Arabidopsis thaliana: one gene and its partners. The main gene of each other region encodes a partner of the protein of the gene in region 2 in a complex. Each region holds a gene or a part of one and is shown on either strand. Other genes may lie near its edges. The genes, in order: UVH6, GTF2H2, AT1G18340 and XPB1.

Evidence for each region.
Region 1: GTF2H2 (region 2) and UVH6 share a complex: the UniProt entries of both Arabidopsis thaliana proteins name them as parts of the 7-subunit TFIIH core complex.
Region 3: GTF2H2 (region 2) and AT1G18340 share a complex: the UniProt entries of both Arabidopsis thaliana proteins name them as parts of the 7-subunit TFIIH core complex.
Region 4: GTF2H2 (region 2) and XPB1 share a complex: the UniProt entries of both Arabidopsis thaliana proteins name them as parts of the 7-subunit TFIIH core complex.

Annotation. Positions count from the first base shown.
Region 1 is NC_003070.9:773,948-780,579, forward strand, and holds UVH6 (RAD3-like DNA-binding helicase protein), read left to right. Parts: upstream 1-1,579; 5' UTR 1,580-1,702; exon of another isoform or gene 1,703-1,860; 5' UTR 1,861-1,874; coding exon 1,875-2,408; intron 2,409-2,534; coding exon 2,535-2,815; intron 2,816-3,207; coding exon 3,208-3,290; intron 3,291-3,388; coding exon 3,389-3,792; intron 3,793-3,924; coding exon 3,925-4,118; intron 4,119-4,205; coding exon 4,206-4,386; intron 4,387-4,538; coding exon 4,539-4,663; intron 4,664-4,859; coding exon 4,860-4,949; intron 4,950-5,054; coding exon 5,055-5,133; intron 5,134-5,226; coding exon 5,227-5,303; intron 5,304-5,590; coding exon 5,591-5,699; intron 5,700-5,796; coding exon 5,797-5,916; 3' UTR 5,917-6,097; downstream 6,098-6,632. Other genes in the region: AT1G03180 (non-structural protein), read left to right, coding at 149-206, 284-592, 705-753, 838-932, 1,021-1,100, 1,175-1,232. UniProt on the Arabidopsis thaliana protein: ATP-dependent 5'-3' DNA helicase, component of the general transcription and DNA repair factor IIH (TFIIH) core complex, which is involved in general and transcription-coupled nucleotide excision repair (NER) of damaged DNA and, when complexed to CDK-activating kinase (CAK), involved in transcription by RNA polymerase II.
Region 2 is NC_003070.9:1,448,096-1,452,563, reverse strand, and holds GTF2H2 (general transcription factor II H2), read left to right. Parts: upstream 1-1,662; 5' UTR 1,663-1,711; coding exon 1,712-1,987; intron 1,988-2,389; coding exon 2,390-2,851; intron 2,852-2,948; coding exon 2,949-3,327; intron 3,328-3,502; coding exon 3,503-3,651; 3' UTR 3,652-3,933; downstream 3,934-4,468. Other genes in the region: AT1G05060 (coiled-coil protein), read left to right, coding at 1-55, 145-269, 808-899, 1,027-1,113, 1,202-1,309; AT1G05040 (UBA-like domain protein), read left to right, coding at 4,116-4,423. UniProt on the Arabidopsis thaliana protein: Component of the general transcription and DNA repair factor IIH (TFIIH) core complex, which is involved in general and transcription-coupled nucleotide excision repair (NER) of damaged DNA and, when complexed to CAK, in RNA transcription by RNA polymerase II.
Region 3 is NC_003070.9:6,310,929-6,315,615, forward strand, and holds AT1G18340 (basal transcription factor complex subunit-like protein), read right to left. Parts: upstream 3,004-4,687; 5' UTR 2,807-3,003; coding exon 2,776-2,806; intron 2,653-2,775; coding exon 2,564-2,652; intron 2,483-2,563; coding exon 2,200-2,482; intron 1,931-2,199; coding exon 1,884-1,930; intron 1,691-1,883; coding exon 1,653-1,690; intron 1,567-1,652; coding exon 1,521-1,566; intron 1,422-1,520; coding exon 1,368-1,421; intron 1,284-1,367; coding exon 1,215-1,283; intron 1,108-1,214; coding exon 1,031-1,107; intron 947-1,030; coding exon 851-946; intron 760-850; coding exon 684-759; 3' UTR 515-683; downstream 1-514. Other genes in the region: AT1G18335 (Acyl-CoA N-acyltransferases (NAT) superfamily protein), read right to left, coding at 94-196, 294-398. UniProt on the Arabidopsis thaliana protein: Component of the general transcription and DNA repair factor IIH (TFIIH) core complex, which is involved in general and transcription-coupled nucleotide excision repair (NER) of damaged DNA and, when complexed to CAK, in RNA transcription by RNA polymerase II.
Region 4 is NC_003076.8:16,549,241-16,556,557, forward strand, and holds XPB1 (DNA repair helicase XPB1-like protein), read left to right. Parts: upstream 1-1,878; 5' UTR 1,879-2,096; coding exon 2,097-2,106; intron 2,107-2,193; coding exon 2,194-2,237; intron 2,238-2,333; coding exon 2,334-2,406; intron 2,407-2,488; coding exon 2,489-2,657; intron 2,658-2,739; coding exon 2,740-2,962; intron 2,963-3,066; coding exon 3,067-3,123; intron 3,124-3,454; coding exon 3,455-3,598; intron 3,599-3,707; coding exon 3,708-3,788; intron 3,789-3,884; coding exon 3,885-3,972; intron 3,973-4,145; coding exon 4,146-4,483; intron 4,484-4,640; coding exon 4,641-4,716; intron 4,717-4,802; coding exon 4,803-4,996; intron 4,997-5,269; coding exon 5,270-5,433; intron 5,434-5,519; coding exon 5,520-5,592; intron 5,593-5,687; coding exon 5,688-5,801; intron 5,802-5,896; coding exon 5,897-5,977; intron 5,978-6,177; coding exon 6,178-6,552; 3' UTR 6,553-6,798; downstream 6,799-7,317. UniProt on the Arabidopsis thaliana protein: ATP-dependent 3'-5' DNA helicase/translocase; binds dsDNA rather than ssDNA, unzipping it in a translocase rather than classical helicase activity. Component of the general transcription and DNA repair factor IIH (TFIIH) core complex.

The DNA of each region.
Region 1 (6,632 bases), 670 kb from region 2:
TACTTCCTTTTGGTTTTAGAATTAAGTCTGTTGTATCCACTATGAGTGTTTTACTGAAAACCAGAAACTTCAATTTGCAGCTTTGGTTTTGGCTACACAAAGCTCCTTCTACCAATATGACTGTTGTTGGTTATTTACATCTGTGCAGGGTATTACAAGACATGAGCCTTGAATTTGAAGGATTGCAAACTGAATTTATGGATTTGGTATGTTAGTCCTACAGACGCCATTTTCACTTTAAGGTCTAAGGTCTTTTTCACACTCTAAGAATCTTAGGTTGTAGGAGACGAATCTTGCAGAACCTCAAGTGAAACCACTGGTTAGAAGAAAACTGATGAGTAGAAAGAGAGAGGTGAAGAATGAGATTAAGAAACTGGAGAAACTGATGAAAACCATCTCTAGTCTCCGAAGTGCGCTGCAGTTAATGATCCGTGAAGCTCCTGGCATTCAGAAAGTTGTGTTGATTCTTGGTGGTAGTCCATTACGGCCTCAAAATGCTTATGAGTTGTTATTCACACAACGCAGAGACCATGTTCTAGGCTACGAAGGTGACTTTGCTAAATCCAAAGCTGCAGAAGCACTTTCAAAAAAGGTTTATTCTTTTTCTTACCTCTGTTTTCATGTTGCTTGTGATTTGTCTCTTTTCAATTTTATCTGCTGTGATAAGTCAAAAATGGTTGAGCCCTTCACTCTTGGCTTTACAGACTATCCGAGCACTGATCTCGACGGGTGCTGGATCAACTTCCTACCCAGGTAACTTTTGCATAAATTGCAAACTTCTTTAGCATTGTTGTGAATTATGGTGTAATGATTTTTTTCCCTTCTTCTGAGTTGCAGGTCCAATGAGGCTCTTCATATTGGTTCATGCTCCACCTACTTTGAATCTTCCACAACATTTCCTTCCTAAACGTGACTTCAGATACAACAGAAAGGTATACACTTCTCTGCTAATTCTATTTCACACATCCATGTACAACATTCCGATTTTCCGTCACCTGCAAACATCTTTTATTATTGCAGTTTGTGCCTTCAAAGTTGAGATTCAAGTGCAGAACGCAAGACAATGCAACAAATTCTCCTCCCACAAATGATCTAATATGGTACTTCTCTTATTCACAATTCTCCAGTTACACACTAAACAAGTTCTTGACCATGCCTTACTGTGTCATTGCAGGTATCAATGTCGACATGTGATAAAGGGATTAGCTTTCCATCAACCAGTTGAAGAATAAGACTTTAGAGTTTGTTTGTATCTCTCTATTGTTGTAACTAAACCCTGTTGCAAATTTTAGAAAAAAACCAGCATTGTTGAAACAATTCCAAATCTTGAGATGACATTGTACTACTACTACTGCATACTCTAATACTCTGTTGTTTTAACAAAATCAGGATTGTTCAACTATTTTATATTTTTGGACGAATTGTTAACATTTAAAAACCTAATTTTGTCGAGAAGTTTAATATACATAAAGTTAGGGGGTCAAACGCATTAAAATAAATAAATAGGGGGTCAGAATGAAAAAGAAACAAAGCTTTAAGTTTTTCTAATAAGAGTCCTCCTCTTCTGTTTGCTCTGGTTACTTCGGCAAACACAGACGCAAAATTTTCTTCTTCTTCTTCTTCTTCTTCTTCTTCTACCTTGAAGCTGCTACCGGTTCCTCTCTCAGTCGTTGATAACACATCGAAGCTTCCATTATCACCTGTAAGTTTTCTCCTGTTATCTTCTCTTCGCTTGATCTCAATTGTTCCTTCTTTCTCGTTGTTCGGGTTTATCTACTCCAACTTGAATCGCTTGTTTTGCTAAAGTGAATTCGAGTTTTTTAGGGTTTTGTTAGTTCTAATGCCAATTTCGATTTCTAGGTAGGAGGAAGAAGATGATCTTTAAAATCGAAGACGTAACTGTCTACTTCCCTTATGACAACATATATCCAGAACAATATGAATACATGGTTGAATTGAAGCGAGCCCTAGACGCTAAGGGACATTGTCTTCTCGAGATGCCTACCGGAACTGGTAAAACCATTGCTCTTCTCTCTCTAATCACCAGCTATCGACTCTCTCGTCCTGATTCTCCGATCAAGCTTGTTTACTGTACTCGTACTGTCCACGAGATGGAGAAAACGTTAGGTGAGCTTAAGCTACTACATGACTACCAAGTACGCCATCTCGGCACCCAGGCTAAGATCCTCGCCCTTGGTCTTTCCTCTCGGAAGAATCTTTGCGTTAATACTAAGGTTTTAGCAGCCGAGAATCGTGATTCTGTTGATGCGGCCTGTAGGAAACGAACTGCTAGCTGGGTTAGGGCTTTGTCCACGGAGAATCCAAATGTAGAACTCTGTGACTTCTTTGAGAACTATGAAAAGGCTGCTGAGAATGCGTTGTTGCCTCCTGGTGTTTATACTTTAGAGGTAAGATTAAAAAAGTTAAGGTTTTTCACATTTGTTGTTTGATCAAGTTTATGTTTTAGTTGGAATGCTTATTTCGAGGTTACTTGCACATTTTGCCTGATGGTATATGTGTGTTTCGATTTTTAGGATCTAAGGGCGTTTGGTAAGAATCGTGGATGGTGCCCTTACTTTCTCGCGAGGCATATGATTCAGTTCGCCAACGTTATTGTTTACAGCTACCAATACCTACTGGATCCTAAGGTTGCTGGGTTCATATCAAAGGAGTTACAAAAAGAGTCAGTTGTAGTGTTTGACGAGGCCCATAATATCGATAACGTGTGTATTGAAGCACTCAGCGTCAGTGTGAGGAGGGTTACACTTGAAGGAGCTAATCGAAATCTTAATAAGATAAGGCAAGAAATTGATAGGTACGCTAATTTTTTCCTATATAGCTGATACTCCTTAAGTTCTCTTGAACGTGCCACTCTTAATACAACAATAAACACAGTGATAGGGTCTTTTCTTTTTCAATTGAATTTCCTGATTGTTCTTGAATGCCATCTGGGTGTCTGCTCACTCCAGTTGCTAATTGTTGGTTTTCTTAAGGAAGTTTAAGTTAGTAAGAAAATAATCTGGTTTTATGAGACTGCTTTTTGTCAAAGAACTGTAAGGGGAACAAAAATTTACAAACGCTTTTGTCATCATCTTAAACACATGAAGCATAATTTTCTTGGTTCAATACAGGAAGTGACCTGGTTATTTGCTGATGCTTATTTTTAAGTTCTTATTACATTATTGAAATTGTCCAACTGGTAGGAAGGTTCAAGGCTACTGATGCAGGAAGATTGCGAGCTGAATACAACCGGCTGGTTGAGGGTTTAGCACTGAGAGGGGACTTATCTGGTAAGTATGTGTTCAGGAAGGTGATCTGTGATTTGATTGAAAGCACACAGTAAATTTTCTAATTCTATGAACTTGACGCAACAATTTTTTTTTTGCAGGAGGTGATCAATGGCTTGCAAACCCTGCACTGCCTCATGATATTCTAAAGGAGGCTGTCCCGGGGAATATTAGACGGGCTGAGCATTTTGTGCATGTTTTACGCCGATTACTTCAGTACTTGGGGGTACGGCTGGACACTGAGAATGTAGAGAAAGAAAGCCCTGTTAGCTTTGTATCGTCACTGAATTCTCAGGCTGGAATTGAGCAGAAAACACTGAAGTTCTGTTATGACCGGCTCCAGTCTCTCATGCTAACCCTTGAAATTACAGATACAGATGAGTTTTTGCCTATCCAGACAGTGTGCGACTTTGCAACTCTTGTTGGGACATATGCCCGGGGATTTTCCATCATCATCGAGCCTTATGACGAGAGAATGCCCCATATTCCAGATCCTATATTGCAGGTAAATATGGTGTTGACCTACTTTCTTTTGAGTATTGTCACTGGGATTTTAAGGGATTATGACTCACACGTAAATGCTACCGTTTGAATAATTGAGAATTGTATCTGAAACATATATCCTTTTGTATCTTAGTTGAGCTGTCATGATGCGTCTCTGGCGATCAAACCGGTGTTTGATCGTTTCCAGTCAGTCGTGATTACATCAGGCACATTGAGCCCAATTGATCTTTACCCCCGTCTTCTTAATTTCACTCCTGTTGTTAGTCGAAGCTTTAAGATGTCAATGACACGAGACTGCATCTGCCCTATGGTTCTAACTCGGGGAAGGTATGTGGTATATAAAAAGAATCCTGAACACTTAACTTATTTTTTAATTTTATATGTCTTGACATTATTGGTTGTTTTCTTTTTCAGTGATCAGCTTCCTGTTAGCACCAAATTTGACATGAGAAGTGATCCTGGTGTTGTGAGGAATTACGGAAAGCTTTTGGTAGAGATGGTATCTATTGTTCCTGATGGAGTTGTCTGCTTCTTTGTTAGTTACTCATATATGGATGGCATTATTGCTACATGGAATGAAACTGGAATTCTGAAGGTAAGGTCTTCTTCATCGCTTTACCATGCCAGTAATTTTTTCAGAGTTTTGCATGAATTGGAATTTTTATGATACCTCAAAATATTTTTAGTTGCTTCAGGCATTAATGTATATTTGTTTACTGATATTACCAATTCTCTTAATGTTTGTAGGAAATAATGCAACAGAAGCTTGTTTTCATTGAAACACAAGATGTTGTAGAAACAACATTGGCACTGGATAATTATCGCAGGGCTTGCGATTGCGGAAGAGGTGCAGTTTTCTTCTCTGTGGCCAGGTAAAATTTTTATTTTTGAATGGTAGATGGTTTGGGAATTCATTGCAATGCGTCTTTGGTTCTGCTTCTTTGTTTCTGTATTATAATACTGGAATTGTCTCTTCTCTCCTATTCTTGGTTGGTTAACAAATATTAAAGAGGTTTCACTTTTGAGAAATTTCAAAGAAAGTGATCAAATTTTGTATTTGAACTGCAGGGGGAAAGTTGCTGAAGGTATCGATTTTGATCGTCATTATGGAAGACTGGTTGTAATGTACGGAGTACCATTCCAGTATACATTAAGCAAGTAAGTTGTACTCAAATGAATGTTTATCATTTCAATTTCCGGTTTTCTGCTTTTATATTTCATCGTACTTGGGAGATGATAAGATGGAAACGGGAAAAATTTCAGGATATTACGAGCAAGATTGGAGTATTTGCACGATACATTTCAAATAAAAGAAGGCGATTTCCTAACTTTTGATGCCTTGGTATGATTCTTATTTTATGATCTTATTAGATTTTGGTGTGCAACTCTTTTACCTGTTTGTGACTGTTGTTAACTCTTTTTGGCTTTAACACAGAGGCAAGCAGCTCAATGTGTAGGGCGAGTAATCCGGTCAAAGGCTGATTATGGGATGATGATATTTGCAGACAAAAGGTACATGCCCGCCTTAAGTTTTCTCTCTCTGAGTCTGGTCATTTAGATTCTTGCTATTTTACTAAATGGGATTCTCTCTATAATCTATCTAGTATGATAATAAGTATATGCGCAAGTATCTGAGATCACCTCGAGAATAGAAGATTGTAACAGAGTTCACACTGTTCCTTAGGAATGGGAAAATATTCGTAGGACAGAAGAGAGACACAGATATATGCTTATGTTGGTTTATAATGTCACATTTCTATGGTCTAACAATACACTGCAATTGATGGTAAAACTTGCAGATACAGCCGTCATGATAAGCGGTCCAAACTACCTGGTTGGATACTTTCGCATCTGCGTGATGCACACTTGAATCTAAGCACTGATATGGCTATTCACATTGCTCGAGAGGTAAACCTATAACTCGCTGCTTTTTTATAACTCACAGTGAAACAAACAACAAGGCATAAAGAATCAACAATTTTCCTGGTTTTTGTTTTTTTTGCAGTTTCTTCGGAAAATGGCTCAACCGTATGATAAGGCGGGTACAATGGGAAGGAAAACTCTGTTGACACAAGAAGATTTGGAGAAGATGGCTGAGACTGGTGTGCAAGACATGGCTTATTAGTAAATCAGTTTGTTTGTTATTTTTTGGTTTAGGTCAATCAAAAATTGTTGTAGCAAAAATTTTCACTGTAGGTATTTTGTTCTTTTTCTTGATGATTTTCAAGAATCGAATTGAAATTTAAGGCTCGTAAAAGTTTCGTTTTGGTTTTAAATCTATTGAAATTAGCAAAATTTATGCTTAATGTTAAGATAACTAGATTATCATATTCACTCATTACATCATTTTAGATCAAGAAATACTTCGTCGGCTCCTTGTTAAATCTATCAAACATACCACTAAAAAAAAAAAATCTTAAAGAATGATTAAATAAATTTAACCAAGCAGTAGAAGTGGAATTGAAATTGGCAGAGTTAGTGCGACGACCCAATCACCTGTCTCCAATAACCGCCTCAAAAACTGTCGAAGCCCATTGGGCACTTGCAAAGCCCAACAGTTGGAGTTCCAGCTCACCCACTAGCCGTTATTACGCAGGCTAATTTTTCAACGTGCGAGAAACCAGATTTCCTTTTTCCCGAAGACTATTTAGGGAATTTCCTCTCTTGAGCCAAATTTTCCTTTTTCCCAAGGGGGGTATTTAGGTATTTTCGTCTCTCTCGGCCAAGTTTCCTTTTTCCGTTCCTCCGTAATAAAGCTTTCATTCTTTTTGTAGGTTTCCATTAGAAGTTCAGAAATACTGTTTATAAATACAAATCCAGAGTCAGAGATCCATTCGATAG
Region 2 (4,468 bases):
TGAATCCTCTCAGAGGTTATGTGTCTCTGCCACAAGTCACTTTCGGCCGTAGAAGGTTCAAATTAGGGTTTTATACTCTGTTTCACTTGATGAGTATTTCAAAATTTTGGATTTGTTGTTAATTTGTGTCGATTTTTATTGCAGATGGGATTTACCGGAATCTGAGAATTCGGTTTTGGCGTCAACAGCTAATGAATTGAGGAGAGACAGATACGGCACTCCTGTAAATCCTGAGAAATTGAAAGCTGCTGGTGAAGGGCTTCAACATAGTATGATCACTTCTCTTCTTTTGTTTATCTGCAAATCAAATCTTTTTGAACGTGGATAATTGGATTTATGGATACAGTTACCTACAGAGGAACATGACTAGATTTGGGTTGTTTGCTAGAGATAGAAGGATTGCTATCTTTACGTGTTCTGTTTTCACTTCCTTGCTTTTGTTAATGTTGATCATGTAAATTGCTTGCCCAAACTTGTCTATTTTACCTTGTTAGGGACTGCAATGGCAGTAATTCTGAAAGGTTTCAGCTTACTAGAGAAAACTTTGGTTTGTTTGGTTATGAAAGCCAAGATTTTCCGTGGCTGAGGGTTCATGAGTGTCTAATGTAACAACTGCTTTCTGGTTGTCTCTTTTTGACTCTGATGACAAATAATCTAAGTATCTCTCTCACAGCCTAGAAATTGTTGATAATATTGCTTAGATTGAGATTCTGTTATTGTCTTTTGTCTTTTAATGTTAATTGATGTCGTGAAGTGTTCGGAAAGTTTGCCTAATCTCGAGCCCTCTGATTTTTCTGGTTTCTGCAGTTGGAAAAGCATTTGCAGCCGCTACTATTATCATCTTTGGTTCAGCCACTTTGGTTTTTGGAACGGCAGCCTCGAAACTTGACATGCGTAATGTAAGATTGCATATGTTTCCATTTTCTTACTTAAATCATTTAGATTAGCATTTCTAAGCATTATTGACTGATCTTGAATGCCATCATCGCCTTACTTGGTTTTATTGTATGATTTTCGTTCTGTTAGGCTGATGACATAAGAACGAAAGGCAAAGATCTTTTTCAGCCAAAACTGGAGTCGATGAAGGAACAAGTAGAGCCCTTAAGAACTTGGGTAATGTTTTACAAAGATACTTGCATCTTCTCAACTGAAGTGGATCATAATCATTAATAGACTAACCCGAAAAGACCATAAATTTCAGGCTGAAAACATGTCGAAGAAGTGGCATATTGAGAATGAAGGTGGTAATACTATCAAGGAGAAACCAATCTTGAAGGAGCTTTCGAAAATTCTGGGACCTAAATCTTAAAAGGCCAAGACCTTTGGTTAATGTGTAACCATGTGGATAGAGAAAGTCAAAGAAGAAGTTCTATATGTTTGTAAGATTCAATAAGATCTTAGGTAAATTATCATATTGTGCTGTAAGAACTAAGAAGTTTCAATGTTGCTGTATAAAGGTTGTATCGAGTGATTTAAGTTTTGTATAATAAAGTTTTTATGAGTTTCAATATCAATGTTTCCTATTGTGTAAGCAAAATAAAATGTTTCACTTCTGATTGGACATGGATTGGTGGGTTAAATATACAGAATAGGAAGTTACAGTCAAAATTGTGAACGTTATAATAAGTAAGGGTTGTTTATGTAAATTTTGGCTTCAGTAGAGTTCTCTTCTTCTTTTTGTAATTAGGTCTCTTAGACGGTGAGGTTAACGATGAGTAATCAAAGAAAGAGATCAAACGATGAAAGAGAAGAAGAGGACGACGAAGATGCGGAAGGTATCGGCGAGTGGGAGAGAGCTTATGTTGACGACCGATCCTGGGAGGAGTTGCAAGAGGATGAGTCTGGACTTTTACGGCCAATTGATAACAGTGCCATTTACCATGCTCAGTATCGCCGCCGTCTTCGTATGCTCTCCGCCGCTGCTGCTGGTACTCGTATCCAAAAGGGACTTATTCGATATCTCTACATCGTCATTGACTTCTCTCGGGTAAATATTTTTCTTTGCAATCCGCCGCTGCTGCTGCTGATTTTGTGATTTTTAGCTTCAATGCCGTTTCCTTTGAGTTTGATGGCGTGAAATTGAGCTTATGTTGCTTTCATCAGAGCTTATATAAAAGAGAAACTATGCACTTTGGGTCACTGATAAGTAACTTTAATGTAATCGTCGTTCTAGTTTTGGAGATCTCTGCTCTTTAGTCTTCTCAATAGGTTCTATAATTGGCTCTGTATTGTTTGCAATGATAATCTTACTCTAAGTGGGTTTGTAGAGCTTAAGGATGTGATCCTTATTCAGATTCTTTATTGAAGGCAACATTATGATTTGGGTTCAAATTTCTCTAGTTCCAAGGTATGCAAAGTCTTACACTTTGGACTGTTTTGTCGTGTCTAGGCAGCTGCGGAAATGGATTTCAGACCAAGCCGGATGGCTATAATGGCCAAACATGTCGAAGCTTTCATTAGAGAGTTCTTTGACCAGAATCCTCTGAGTCAAATTGGGTTGGTCTCTATAAAAAATGGAGTTGCGCATACATTAACAGATCTTGGTGGTAGTCCTGAGACTCACATCAAAGCGTTGATGGGGAAGTTGGAAGCTTTGGGTGACTCCTCTTTGCAGAACGCTCTGGAACTTGTACATGAGCATCTCAACCAGGTTCCATCTTATGGTCACCGCGAGGTTCTGATATTGTACTCAGCTTTATGCACATGTGATCCAGGCGATATCATGGAGACCATTCAAAAATGCAAGAAATCCAAATTAAGATGTTCTGTAATTGGGCTCTCTGCAGAAATGTTCATATGTAAACACCTCTGCCAGGAAACTGGCGGATTGTATTCAGTTGCAGTGGACGAGGTGAGTTTAGCTACCTTCTACTTACACTTGGACCTTTGAAAAACTTGTTTTGTATGGTATAACATTGTGCTTTGTGTGTATTTGTCTTTTCACGCAGGTGCATCTAAAGGATCTTCTGCTTGAACATGCGCCTCCACCTCCGGCAATAGCAGAATTTGCAATTGCAAATTTGATCAAGATGGGTTTCCCACAAAGAGCTGCTGAGGGTTCAATGGCGATTTGTTCGTGTCATAAGGAAGTTAAGATTGGAGCTGGTTACATGTGCCCAAGATGCAAAGCTCGGGTATGTGACCTCCCTACGGAATGCACTATCTGCGGTCTAACACTTGTTTCTTCGCCGCATTTGGCGAGATCATACCATCATCTCTTCCCGATTGCTCCATTTGATGAGGTGCCTGCACTTTCAAGTCTGAATGATAATCGGAGAAAATTGGGAAAGAGTTGTTTTGGTTGCCAACAGAGCCTAATTGGTGCAGGTAACTACTTGAACACCATTTTATAGAGTCTTAATACTGTTGGTTGAATAACCATTTGGTCACTAGACCAGTAGTTGAACTTAAGATACGGTTCACCCTTGTCATAGTATATACAAAGTAACCGATCCATTCACTCAAATATAAAGGCTCATTGGTGCTTTTGTTTTTTGCTTAGGGAATAAACCCGTCCCATGCGTAACATGTCGTAAATGCAAGCACTATTTCTGTCTGGACTGTGACATATACATCCACGAGAGCTTACACAACTGTCCTGGCTGTGAGAGCATTCACCGTCCCAAATCAGTTTCTTTGATGGAAGAATGAGAGAATGAATGTGTTCACACTTCCAATTATAAATCACAATTGAGATGATGAGAGGAAGCAATTTTTTTTGTGATATAGGATGTTGTAATTGGTCTTATGTCCTTAACCAAAATCTTTCTTCTTTTGTGGACTCTATTGCTCTCTCACAATTGATCCAAAACAAACCGACTCAAATTTTCAGAGATAGCATTCTTAATTGTTTGATTTTCTATTTAACTTGGGCTTGAAATTTCTTCACTCATGAGAAAACGAACAGTAGTAATAAAGAATTATTTCGGTGGTAAACAAAAGGAGACCGTATCATCAGTTGTTTGTTGATACTGTCATGACAAGGTCGCAACTACTTCCCTAAATATCTCTCTGTTTGTTAGAAGCTTTTATATTAGATCTAAGTGAAACAATTCTTAGTGATTGTCATAAGTAAACAACGTACTTAATCTTTGAGAAAAGTCCCTAACACCACCATGAAGGAAGAAGATACTAACGTCACTAGGTTCTGCAAGGCAACGTCTGCGTGTAAAGATGCAGCATTCTACTACCTTGAAGGATTCGACTGGAATCTCGAAGACGCCATCTCTGGTTTCCTCGGTGATCAACTTCCTCCGCTCAAAATAAGAGCGACTCCACGGAGGGTGAATGAATGGCGAGAGCGATCTCGATCTCCTTTAAGAAGAAGATACTCTACTACCTCTGTCTCGGAATTTACGCTGAAGATGCGCCAAGATGAGATAACCATAACGAAAAGCTCTGATACGGGTGCTTTGGCCACCAGGTGGGTGATTTAATAATATTAAGGGCTCGGTAATCCAAATCATCT
Region 3 (4,687 bases), 4.9 Mb from region 2:
AAATCATTGTCAATGATAATCAGTTCGCATAAACAAAATCCCATATTTTTGAGAAACTGGCGAAAATAAAATTGAGCAGAAGAACAAATTTACCGTTTCTTCGGTAACGGCGGAAAGAATCAAACGGAGAAAGAGGATCGTCAATGGAAGAAGCTCTTTTTATAAGGTCATGAATCGTCTTTTTCTTCTCCAAAATCTGCACGACAATTCTCAATTATCGATTTCGAACAAAATCAAAGATCGAAATTTCGAGTGCTATGAAACATACACATTACTTCCGAGATTTTTTTTACCTTTCGCCGTTTCTTCAAATCCATTGCTCGCCACACCGATGATTCTCTTCCCTCTGTCTCGTTCGTTCTCCACGTCTGAAGTGATTCGGTAGGAGACGGATCCATCAAACGGGTTTGGACCCGAAATAGATCCGACAATAATAAATGACGTCAGCCCAAATGTCGTATTCGTTCAAATTCGATAGAGAAGCCCAACTTTCTATATGGACTATTAGAGGCCTTTTTGTTTTGTTTGCTCAAGTCAACGGGTACTATCTCAAGGAAAAAAAAAGAGTCAAAAACTTTGCAAAATTGATTTCACTTTGATATATGGTATAAAAATTATCGAAAATGAACGCAAAGACACAATTAAACAAAGTTTGCAGTTTCTCTCTGGCACAAAAGATGATTTTAGGTACTAGGAGCTTTTCTCTTCTTATCAGAGGCAGATGAAGCATCATCAAGTTTAGACTGACCAAATACAGACCTGCAAATTTCCAAAAGCTTTTCGATATTAGTATCAAACAACATGATAGATTGTTATCTTGAGAAAGAACATGACGGGTCAAATCTCTTACCCGCAGGTTGAACATTTCTTGTGATGCTCACAGAAAATGGACAGACACACTGAGCATATGTAGCCCATATCTATTGTCTTCTTGTGGCAAAAGCACCTGCAAATTTTGTACTTAAAACCATCTGTTATATATGCAGAGGAAGACCCGATTAATTGAAGAGTTAATGACTTGATCACTTACGATGCGCGAAAATCTACACCTATGGGTTTAGGAAGTTGTACAAAACCGCGGGAGTGCAAATCGGTTGCAAAGATTGTCTTTTGTGCAAAACAAAACAATCCAGAGTTAGCAGCCATTGAGTATTGAGTTCGCTAAATGAGAGACGAGTCACATAATGGTTTGCGTTTGGACTTGAGTTGCGTACCGTTAGATATTGAAATAGCCCATCCAACTGTTTAGGTGTATGATGTACACCACCAGTTATATAAGATGCCTACAAATAAGCCAGGAGATAACAGCTGACGCATAGGTCCAGTTTGACGAGTTAGAATCATGTATAAAGGAGAAATGATATTACCTGCTGCAAAAATGCTGAGTTCTGTACACCTATGTAACACGAATCAATGGGAACCTAAAGAACCAATTGATGAAGTGATTTGGGTACATGATACTGGATTTAGAGAACATCAAGAACCGGAAATCCCAAAGAACCAATCAAAATGAAGATTACCATCAAGCGTTGGGCAGAGAAGATAGAGTTCATAACAGCAACATACCTGAAAGAATGACAAAACCTTTTAATGAGACCAGACAAACAAGACAAAATCTTGCAAGTAGAAAAAAAATGAAGGAAGAAACATACTGTTCCGGGCCATCTGGGGAACCTTGCAAGCATAAAATCTGTATTTCATATAAACGTCAATAGCACAATCAGTTCTGTATTTTGGGGGTATACGATAGAACAGATAACACATAAGAAAAAGGAGTCTATATTCTCATTAATACTTTAAGCTGAAGATTCATACAAAGCAATCAACATGAAAAGTTTTATCCAAGACAACTGATTGATACATATATCCTACTGAACACTCACCCGAGGCTGGGGATGAAGATGTCCAGAACGGAAAACCCTCTGTATATCTAGAGCCATAAATTAAGTCAACAACAAAATGTGAAGACTGAAAATCAAATACATATATTACCAGATAACATTGATGGCCTTAGACATGCTATAGGTTTAGCTGAGAACAAACATGTCAACCTAAAATGTTCCTTACTTAACCCAGTCTAGAGAGAAAGCTAAGCTTCAAGATCACTGCCAGAACTTATGCAAACAAATCCTAATAGTTTGTACTATATATAGCTTCAAGAAACCTATCATGATGCTATATGCTTTTCCAAGAGGATACAGCAAAGAGCCATGGAGAGTGATCCTGACAAGAGACAAGAAGGTATTCTATCCTCAGACACTTCCTCCTTGCTGAGCTCCTCATCTTTGGTAACAAACTCTTCCAATTTCTTAAGCAAAGAACCAAAAATTGCAGGCATTCCAGTTCCATTGCTCTCGAAATTTCCATGATTTGATGTCAAAGACGAATCATAAATGTAATCACAAGAACTGTATCCAGTAGCTATAACTACAACTTGGTTCAACTGATTTAACCCCAAAACCGCATTAAGAAACGCAAGCACCTACACATAACAGCAGCAAGCTTTCTGCATAAAAATCGAAGCATTGAACAAACAAACAATAGATTCGTTAGAGACACTTACATGAGAAAGGAACTGAGAGAAGGTAATCGATGTAGTGCTCCAGAAAAGAGGATTCGTATCAAGCAACAAAACTAGAAGACTAACATCGTCTGCGACCAAAAAAACAATCACGAGCCAATCAGACTTGTTTCCAGTTTTTGGGATATCTAATCTACATACTTATACGATTGAGGAATGTGAGGGTTTCGAAGTAAGAGGAATTTAATAATAACCTGAATACTGCTTAGAAGCAATGGCAGGCATAGTTTCACAGACGATTCCAAGTCAGAATTTCAGTGTGCCGGGAAATCTTCCCGGTGGGAACGAGATCTGATAATGCTATTTCAGTGCCGGGAAATCGTTTTTTTTTTCTTCTCCAATATATCTTCACAACAGGTCTTTGAGTTTTCCGATTACGAACCAGAGTTAAAGAATGAAATTCTCGGATGCTATAGTAACTTACTGAAAAATTCAAGGATTTTTAGCTTATACAGAAATCTGAAGTGATTTGGTAGGAGCCGGATCCATCAAACGGGTTTGGATCCGAATCAGATCCGACTATAAACGTCGTATCGTAAGCCGGGCTTACTAAGCCCAAATATGGCATTAGTTCAAATTTTTAGATAGGCCCAGTTTTCTTTATGAACTAAACCGCCTTTTACAAGGGCCTTTTGTTTTCTTTGTTCTTTCTTTTGGAAAAGAACACCAAAATCTCAAGGAACAAATTTATTTTTCAAACTGGCTACTGATACGAAATTCAGTTTATTCAAGCTTTATACTATCGGACGTCGATATATTAATTTTAATGGTAAAAAATTTTGGTTGAAATGTTGTTTGTTTCAATACTAAAAATTAGTAAATTCACACATGTCCTGATATCCAATCCATCCTATGAAACTATAGTCATGTTTGGAGATCGTCTTGATATATAATACATGGGGCATAAAAAGCTTACTACATTTTTTTGGGAGTAACAACTAACAAATAAACAAACAAGTTTTTTGGTTGGAAAAAGAAGCAAATCACATTCATAAAGGTTTGATTGACTTCATATAATTTGATTGTTATTCATTTGATTGACTTCATATTATTTTTATTCAGTATTCTTTGGATATATACGCGCATGACAATCGACATGCTAAATACTTGTAATCCGTAGGGTCATGTGTGACTGTCCACTAAGAATCTGAAGATCTAATCATAGTTTTTACTAAAATCATATTAATAATTAACTTGGCAATATTAATGGCGATGGCCATTGGAAAGCTTTTGCATGATGGCCTAAATATAACTTATTGTTTGGTCATTTTCATTAGAAGTCCTTAGCCTCCGAGGTACATTGAACCTCACAAATTCACATTAAACTTTAAAATCTCCTATAGTTTAGTATATGAAAATTATATAACTAAATTCCACCAATGTCTTTATGAGTAAATAATAATCTTACTATCAAGTCAAATTAATATCACTAAAATAAATGTTTTGAAAGTATTATTATTTTTCAACAACAATGGATTATGTGTTTGAATGTGAAGATAACGATTCTGATAGGTAACACAAAGCTTTAAAGTTGTTTTAGCTGTAAATTAGAATGCAAAACTATATAAATAAGTAGTACAAAAAGTTAAAAATAACGTTTTTATAACGCTTTTGTAATTTGTAATATCACGGTACATGCTGTACCAAACTTTGATAATTGAGTTACCATTCAAAATCACTAAAACAAACTCTTTAAATGCATATAAATCTAATCATTAATGCAAAACGTTAAAAGTAACGCTTTTATAACGCCTTTGTAATTTGTAATTATCACGATACAGGCTGTAACAAACTTTGATAATTGAGTTACCATTCAAAATCACTAAAACAAACTCTTTAAATGTATATAAATCTAATCATTATTGCGTAGATTTATCTCAATATACACAAGCCACTATAGCCAGGTTCCGGGTAAGTAGGACAGATAGCAGTCCCATGCATTTAACCTCGTGCAAGATAAACATAAACGGTAGACACACTAGTTGCCATTTTTAGATACAACTCAACAAATAATAATTAAGATAAAGAACAAAAAAGAGTGATTAACATTTAATGGAAAGATTTATTAGCTTCCCAGGCTCCTCACTTAAATCCCACTCAAGTCTC
Region 4 (7,317 bases), on a different chromosome or scaffold from region 2:
TTGATATTTGTTTTATTATGTGAATTGATTAATTGATATTAGAAAGTTCTTTCCTTTTTTTTGATATTTGTTTTCTAGCATATCATGATATCGCCTCGAGAATACCTTTGAAAATTATTTTGTTATTGTCAACTGTCATGATATCTCGCTGAACCAACATATAAAACACGATTATAATTTGGTTGACAGATCCTGAACAACAGTAAAACGTACTTAGTTTTCGAGGTTAAAAAATAATTACTTGTCATGATTTCGAATTAAAAATAATAATGGGCTCAATTTGAGATTAAAGAAAGCCCACGCTAAAAGAGGCCTACTAAATGCCCATATTGGATCCGTTATTGTAGCCTTTCTATATATGAATCGAGTTTGCATTTCTGCTATAACGTTCTCTGCATTCACATGATCACATCAACTCAGTAACGGACTCGACATACCCGGACCTGGACCCGACACCGAATCCGAATCATAATGCGACGGAGACGCAGCTCGCTTCTCGGTCTAGCTTACAACGGAAAATATTTACGGTACCGTTTGTTTTCCCTCTGTCGTAGAATTTCTGTCTTCGACACCGGATTGATATAATCGATTGAAAAGACAAGAGATAATGTCTAAAATTGATTCGATGAAGAGAAAAAGATCAATATGGGGAACGATAAAAGTCTCGATCTTACTGATTTTGGTTAATTTTCATATTACCCTGCAAAAAAAAGTATTGTCAATTCTGGGGAATTTTGTTGTTCAGGTGAAAGATGAAGAAGACCCGACTCTGTGTGTTTTTTCTTTTAAGTGTCGTACTGATGAAGAAGATCTGGGTCAATTAGTCATCCGTTATGGCCCAGTTGTTAAGATGTTATCCAAATCGTAAGAAGAAGGCCCGACATGTTTTTGAGACGTTGGTAAGAAGAAGGTCTTGCTTCTTTTGTGCATCCAGATAATGTCTATATGACCAAGGTAAGAGCATCCTCATTGCACATCCTCCAATGAATGTCTTTCATATTAAATAATATTAAATTTAAAGACCCTCTCTCTTTTGACAGGTAAAATGTCTACTATTAAGACACATCCATTTATTATTTTCCACTTTTTTAAGTAGTTTAAAAGTTTAAAGACACCCATAAAAGATATGCAATGAGGATGCTCTAAGGGACCGAGATTATATACTGCTGCAGATGGGGTAATGTAATGCTATTTGTCTTGTGCAGGAGCGTTGGATGTACATTGGTCTCCTCTTGGTTCATACTTTGTGTCACTTGAGAAGGAGAAGAACGTGGCAACTCTTTGGGCATTGAATCGTCTCCCATTCTCAGACCATGTACATTGCACAATTTTTATGAGTATCATAAGCCCAAAAATATTAAATTAATGAATAAAATAACTGATTTGGGTTTAAGTAGTATCACTGGAGTGATTTCTTTGATACCAGTCTCTGATAACGTGGCGGGTTATGATTAGTTGGGAAAACATGTTTTTGTGTGAAAAGAGAGAAATTTTTTTTTTCGATTAGTCGGGAAAACGCATCTTTTCGATTTTGCAATTTTTTTTTTTTAATGATACTAATACGATTTCACCGGTGGAAACAGATTTATTATCAATATTATAAAAAGTTTCAAACAATAAATAAACATTAAAATTAATAGTAAAATATTATTAATGGTACTCTATGAGTACCAACTATGTGCATGCTCTCATGCGCTTTCCTTCCTCATCCTATGGTTTGTCTTTCATCTCCCATTTTGCATATGTAAGAATAATCTTAGAGGCTAAAAGAAAAAAGAATGGGCTCAACGTGAGAATAAGAAAGCCCACATTAAAAGAGGTCTATTAAAGCCCATATTTGATCCGTTATTTATTTGTAGCCTTTTGAATCTTCTACTTTACATTTCCCTTCCTTGACATTAATGATTAAACCAGTGATACCCGAACCCGACACCGAATCCGATTCAAAATCCGCCGGGGACGCAGCTACTCCCTCCGCCAAATAGCTTTCAACGGTAAATTTTCACGGCGCCGGTTGTCTTCCTTCTTTGTTCTTCTCAGGAATCGCTAATTGATAACTTCAATTGGAAGATACAAGACAAAAAAAGAAGATCAATATGGGAAACGGTATTAAGCAGCTCGATCTTACTGATTTTTGCTTAGTTTATCTTGCCAAACAAAAGTATGCCAATACTGTGAAGTTCTGTTGTTCAGGTGAAAGAGGAAGACCTAACAAGAAGATGAAGTATGGTGGCAAGGTTCGTCTTGATTCTTCTCCAGATCAATTTTTTATTTTATCAATTAGGGCTCTTCAGATGGTAGTTAGTGAGTGTAATTGTACTGTCAAATCTCAGGATGATCAAAAGATGAAGAACATCCAAAACGCTGAAGATTACTATGATGATGCTGATGAAGACTCTCGTGATGGTAAGATTGTAGCATACTTATTACTTACAAATGGATACATTTGGAACAAAATTGAATTGAAAAGTTATAATGGTTTTTGAAGGTGAAGGAGAGGAGAAGAAGAGAGATTTTACTAAATTGGAGTTGAAGCCAGATCATGGAAACAGGCCTTTGTGGGCTTGTGCTGATGGAAGGATTTTCTTGGAGACATTTTCTCCTCTCTATAAACAAGCTTATGACTTTCTTATCGCCATTGCTGAACCCGTTTGCAGGTTCGATTTTGATTTGGTGATTATATCAATGTACAAGTTATGATTTTTGTTGTTGATTTTCATTCATTTGTTACTATTTCAGGCCTGAGTCAATGCACGAGTATAATTTAACCCCACACTCGTTGTATGCTGCTGTTTCCGTTGGTCTTGAGACAGAAACTATCATTTCTGTTTTGAATAAACTGTCTAAGACTAAGCTACCCAAGGAGATGATTGAGTTCATCCATGCTTCTACTGCTAATTATGGGAAAGTAAAGCTGGTTTTGAAGAAGAATCGGTATTTTATTGAGTCCCCATTCCCAGAGGTAAGTTCATTAGGCTGATGCTCTGTCTCTGCTCTTGTGTATTTGGATATTGGTTTTCGTTTTTCCATTGCCTTTGCTCAATTGTAAACACAAAACAATCTCAGGTTTTGAAAAGGCTTCTCAGCGACGATGTTATAAACCGAGCTAGATTTTCTTCTGAGGTATGTTGAACTCCTCCATTTAGTTCATTATGTTTGCTTTCAAGATTTTATGCTGGATGGAAATACATACCATTTTTGGTTGTTCTCAACGGTGTTTTGCATCTTTTGTCACCAGTGTGGCAGATATATATATATTTTGATTCTCTCAGGTTCTTGGTTTCATGTTTATATTCCTAACTCCTAAGTTCCTTGGAACGATGTTTCAGTTGGTAAATTAACTCATAATCCTTTTTTCTTAAACTCTTGATTCATTGACTGTTGATTTATTTAATCTAATACCATTGTATTCTCCACAGTATGTCGAACCAACTTAGATTAACTTTTTTGGTAGCCATATTATGGCGGTGATGGATTCTCGGTCGGCAGAACATGCGGTGAACTTGAAGCAGGACCCGGGGAGCTATTGAATGAAGCGGAATTTGCAGCAGCAGCAGAAGAGAAAGAAACTCACTCATTTGAGATTGACCCTGCACAGGTAAATTTCTCCTAATGCTTCTTAAAAGTAATCGAATTGATGAGTTTGGTAAAGTTGTATGATCTTTACTTAACTCGTGGTGTCATGCTCTTTTTCTCTTGGTGTTTAGGTGGAGAATGTGAAGCAGCGTTGCTTACCAAATGCCTTGAATTACCCTATGTTAGAGGAATATGACTTCAGGAACGACAATGTGAGTAACAAATATTACACTTCAGGCCAATTTTTGCTTACCAGATGATATGCACCGCAGGTGTGTGATTGTTAATAACTTGATGGTGTCTCTCAGGTTAATCCCGATCTTGACATGGAACTGAAGCCCCATGCACAACCGAGGCCATACCAGGAAAAAAGTTTGAGCAAAATGTTTGGGAACGGTATAGCTGTCTGCATCCACATTATTTTTCCTTATTGATGGTGAACTTCTCATAGATATGTCCACTTGTACTTCCACGTGACTGATCTAGCTTTATGGTGAACACCTAATAGATAATTATCTTTGTAATTTCTTGAGAAATATTGTGACTGATCTTGAATCTTGGATTTGCAGGGCGAGCAAGATCTGGGATTATAGTGTTGCCTTGTGGTGCTGGTAAATCTCTAGTTGGTGTTTCTGCAGCTGCTCGTATAAAGAAGAGTTGTCTTTGTTTGGCGACGAATGCTGTCTCAGTGGATCAGTGGGCCTTCCAGTTCAAGTTGTGGTCTACTATAAGAGATGACCAAATATGTCGTTTCACTTCTGATAGTAAAGAACGATTCCGTGGAAATGCTGGTGTTGTTGTGACAACCTATAATATGGTTGCCTTTGGTGGTAAACGGTCTGAGGAATCAGAGAAGATTATAGAAGAAATGAGAAACAGAGAGTGGGGGTTACTGCTCATGGATGAGGTAATCAAATTGATGTTAGTGTTTGCTGGTAGTTATTTTGCGGAAAAGTCATATGTTCGTTGAGAAGGTGTATCCAGTGTTGAGCCCATGAATGCGATCTACAAACAATAAGTTTCCATTCTATGCTTGACTTTTCAAGATTTCTGTTTTGTTTTAGGTGCATGTGGTTCCAGCCCATATGTTTAGGAAAGTTATCAGTATCACAAAATCTCACTGCAAGCTAGGACTTACAGGTAATTTAAGGGTTCATTTTCACATACATTTACATATGTATACTTCAGTTGCAGAAGCTAAGTTTCTTTTTTGGACTTTTGTTCAGCCACCCTTGTGAGAGAAGACGAAAGGATTACAGATTTGAACTTCCTCATTGGCCCGAAACTCTATGAAGCCAATTGGCTAGATTTAGTTAAAGGAGGCTTTATTGCAAATGTTCAGTGTGCTGAAGTATGGTGTCCCATGACCAAAGAGTTTTTTGCAGAATATCTAAAGAAAGAGAACTCCAAGAAAAAGCAGGTTCATGAATATATGCTTTTTTGCATTTTCTGAAAATAATATCTGAGATTGTTAGATATCTGATCTTTATGTTAGTTTCATCTGATGCACTAGAGTCCATGAATTTTATGTAGTCTGGAACCTTGAAATATTGTAAGCATCAATATAGGTTCTTTTTTTAGTGTGCTTTTCTAATTTGGAAAATGCTCTAATAGAACCACCATGGAAAGTCTATGGAATTGGAGCTAGTAAACCTTGACAGTTGTTCTGACATGGGTCTTCTGGTATCTGCAGGCACTTTATGTCATGAACCCTAACAAGTTCAGAGCCTGTGAGTTTCTGATTCGTTTCCATGAACAACAACGTGGGGATAAAATCATTGTCTTTGCAGACAATCTTTTTGCGCTTACAGAGTATGCGATGAAACTCCGGAAACCAATGATTTATGGTGCAACCAGGTTCGTTCAAGTTCTATTGATAACACACTTTTTTCGTTTTCACTCAATTTCCAATTTGATAATTCAATTTTTTTTTCAATATGTAGTCATATCGAAAGGACAAAAATTCTCGAGGCGTTTAAAACCAGTAAAGACGTGAACACTGTCTTCCTGTCAAAGGTATAAACATTGTTTCCTTCATTATATAAATTTGTCCTTCCTCCATTCCATGTTCGTTAGGGAACTTAATTTCCGTTTGGTTTATTTGACTACAGGTTGGTGATAACTCCATAGATATCCCTGAAGCTAATGTGATTATCCAGATTTCGTCACATGCTGGTTCTAGACGTCAAGAGGCTCAGCGTTTGGGTCGTATTCTTAGGGCTAAGGTTTGAATTTCGTACTCATCACTTAAGTGTCTCTTTTAGTTTCTCTTGTTGGTTGGATCAAATTTTTTTGATATTTCTCCATATGATGAAAACAGGGTAAACTCGAAGATAGAATGGCCGGTGGAAAAGAAGAGTACAATGCATTCTTCTACTCACTTGTTTCGACAGATACACAGGTAAATCACTAAAGTGAAGTAGGCATAAAAACTGAATTTCCTCAGACCGAACCCGAATTAGAACCAAAATATGATTCAGTTCTTGCCCGACCTCGTTTTCTAAAACCCGAAACATGAAACTTGAACTGATAATACAAACACCCGTACTCGTATCTCCATGTGAATGGCTGATTTAAGGATTGTGAATGTTGAAAATGCAGGAAATGTATTATTCGACGAAAAGACAACAGTTCTTGATAGACCAAGGTTACAGCTTTAAGGTTATAACAAGCCTCCCACCTCCGGACGCGGGTTCAAGCTTGAGCTACCATAGTCAAGAAGAACAGTTGTCTCTTCTTGGAAAGGTGATGAATGCTGGAGACGATCTGGTCGGTTTAGAGCAACTCGAAGAAGACACAGACGGAATGGCTCTACAAAAGGCGAGACGAAGCATGGGATCGATGAGCGTAATGTCCGGTTCAAAAGGAATGGTCTACATGGAATACAACTCAGGCCGTCACAAATCCGGTCAGCAATTCAAGAAACCTAAAGACCCAACCAAACGACACAATCTCTTCAAAAAACGTTACGTGTGAGAGAAACAAAGAGAAGCTTTCAAGAGTTTTCGGCTGTTTGTTTCGAGTTGTATGTAACTTTTGTGCAAATTTGTTGAAATTAACAAATAAATTACTTAAATTAATAAAAAAATGTATGATGTATCATGTATGTAAGTATTTTTTTTATTTTTATTTTTTGTAAGTATTATGACATTGTTTAAATATGTAAGTGTATGTTTCTATTTCGAGGAGGCTACTTTGCAATTGTGGAGGAAGTTGGTAAGATAGTAAGATACCCTCACCAAACACAAACATGCACAACAGCAAAAATGTATAAAGATAAATCGAGATAAAATGAATTATCAATGTTCGTCCCACGTAAGAGGAATATTATTTGTTAATAATTCTTTCTTTTTTTATTCCTATGTATTTATATGTATACCTTTTGTATTTTTATAAGCTAAACCTACAATTAAAGTTCTGTGTAGGTAGCATTTTGACCACTTTTTCAGTTACATTGATTTACTTAATTTTTTGTCTATTTAGTCCTAACGGATTGATATTCTTTATCTATTTCTTTGACAAGCTTCATGATCACAAATCTTCAAATGGCCAACTCCCATTGGTTGCAAATTATAATGCTCTATACTATCATTTGAAGCATCTTATTTCATTAAAGTGTACTCTTATAAAAATCATAAGTGTGGAAAAAAAAACGAAAAAAAAACATAATTATTAGAAATACAAGATATTTGAATCCAAAGTTAATATTAAGATTGTAATAAATGTGGATTATCATAATCT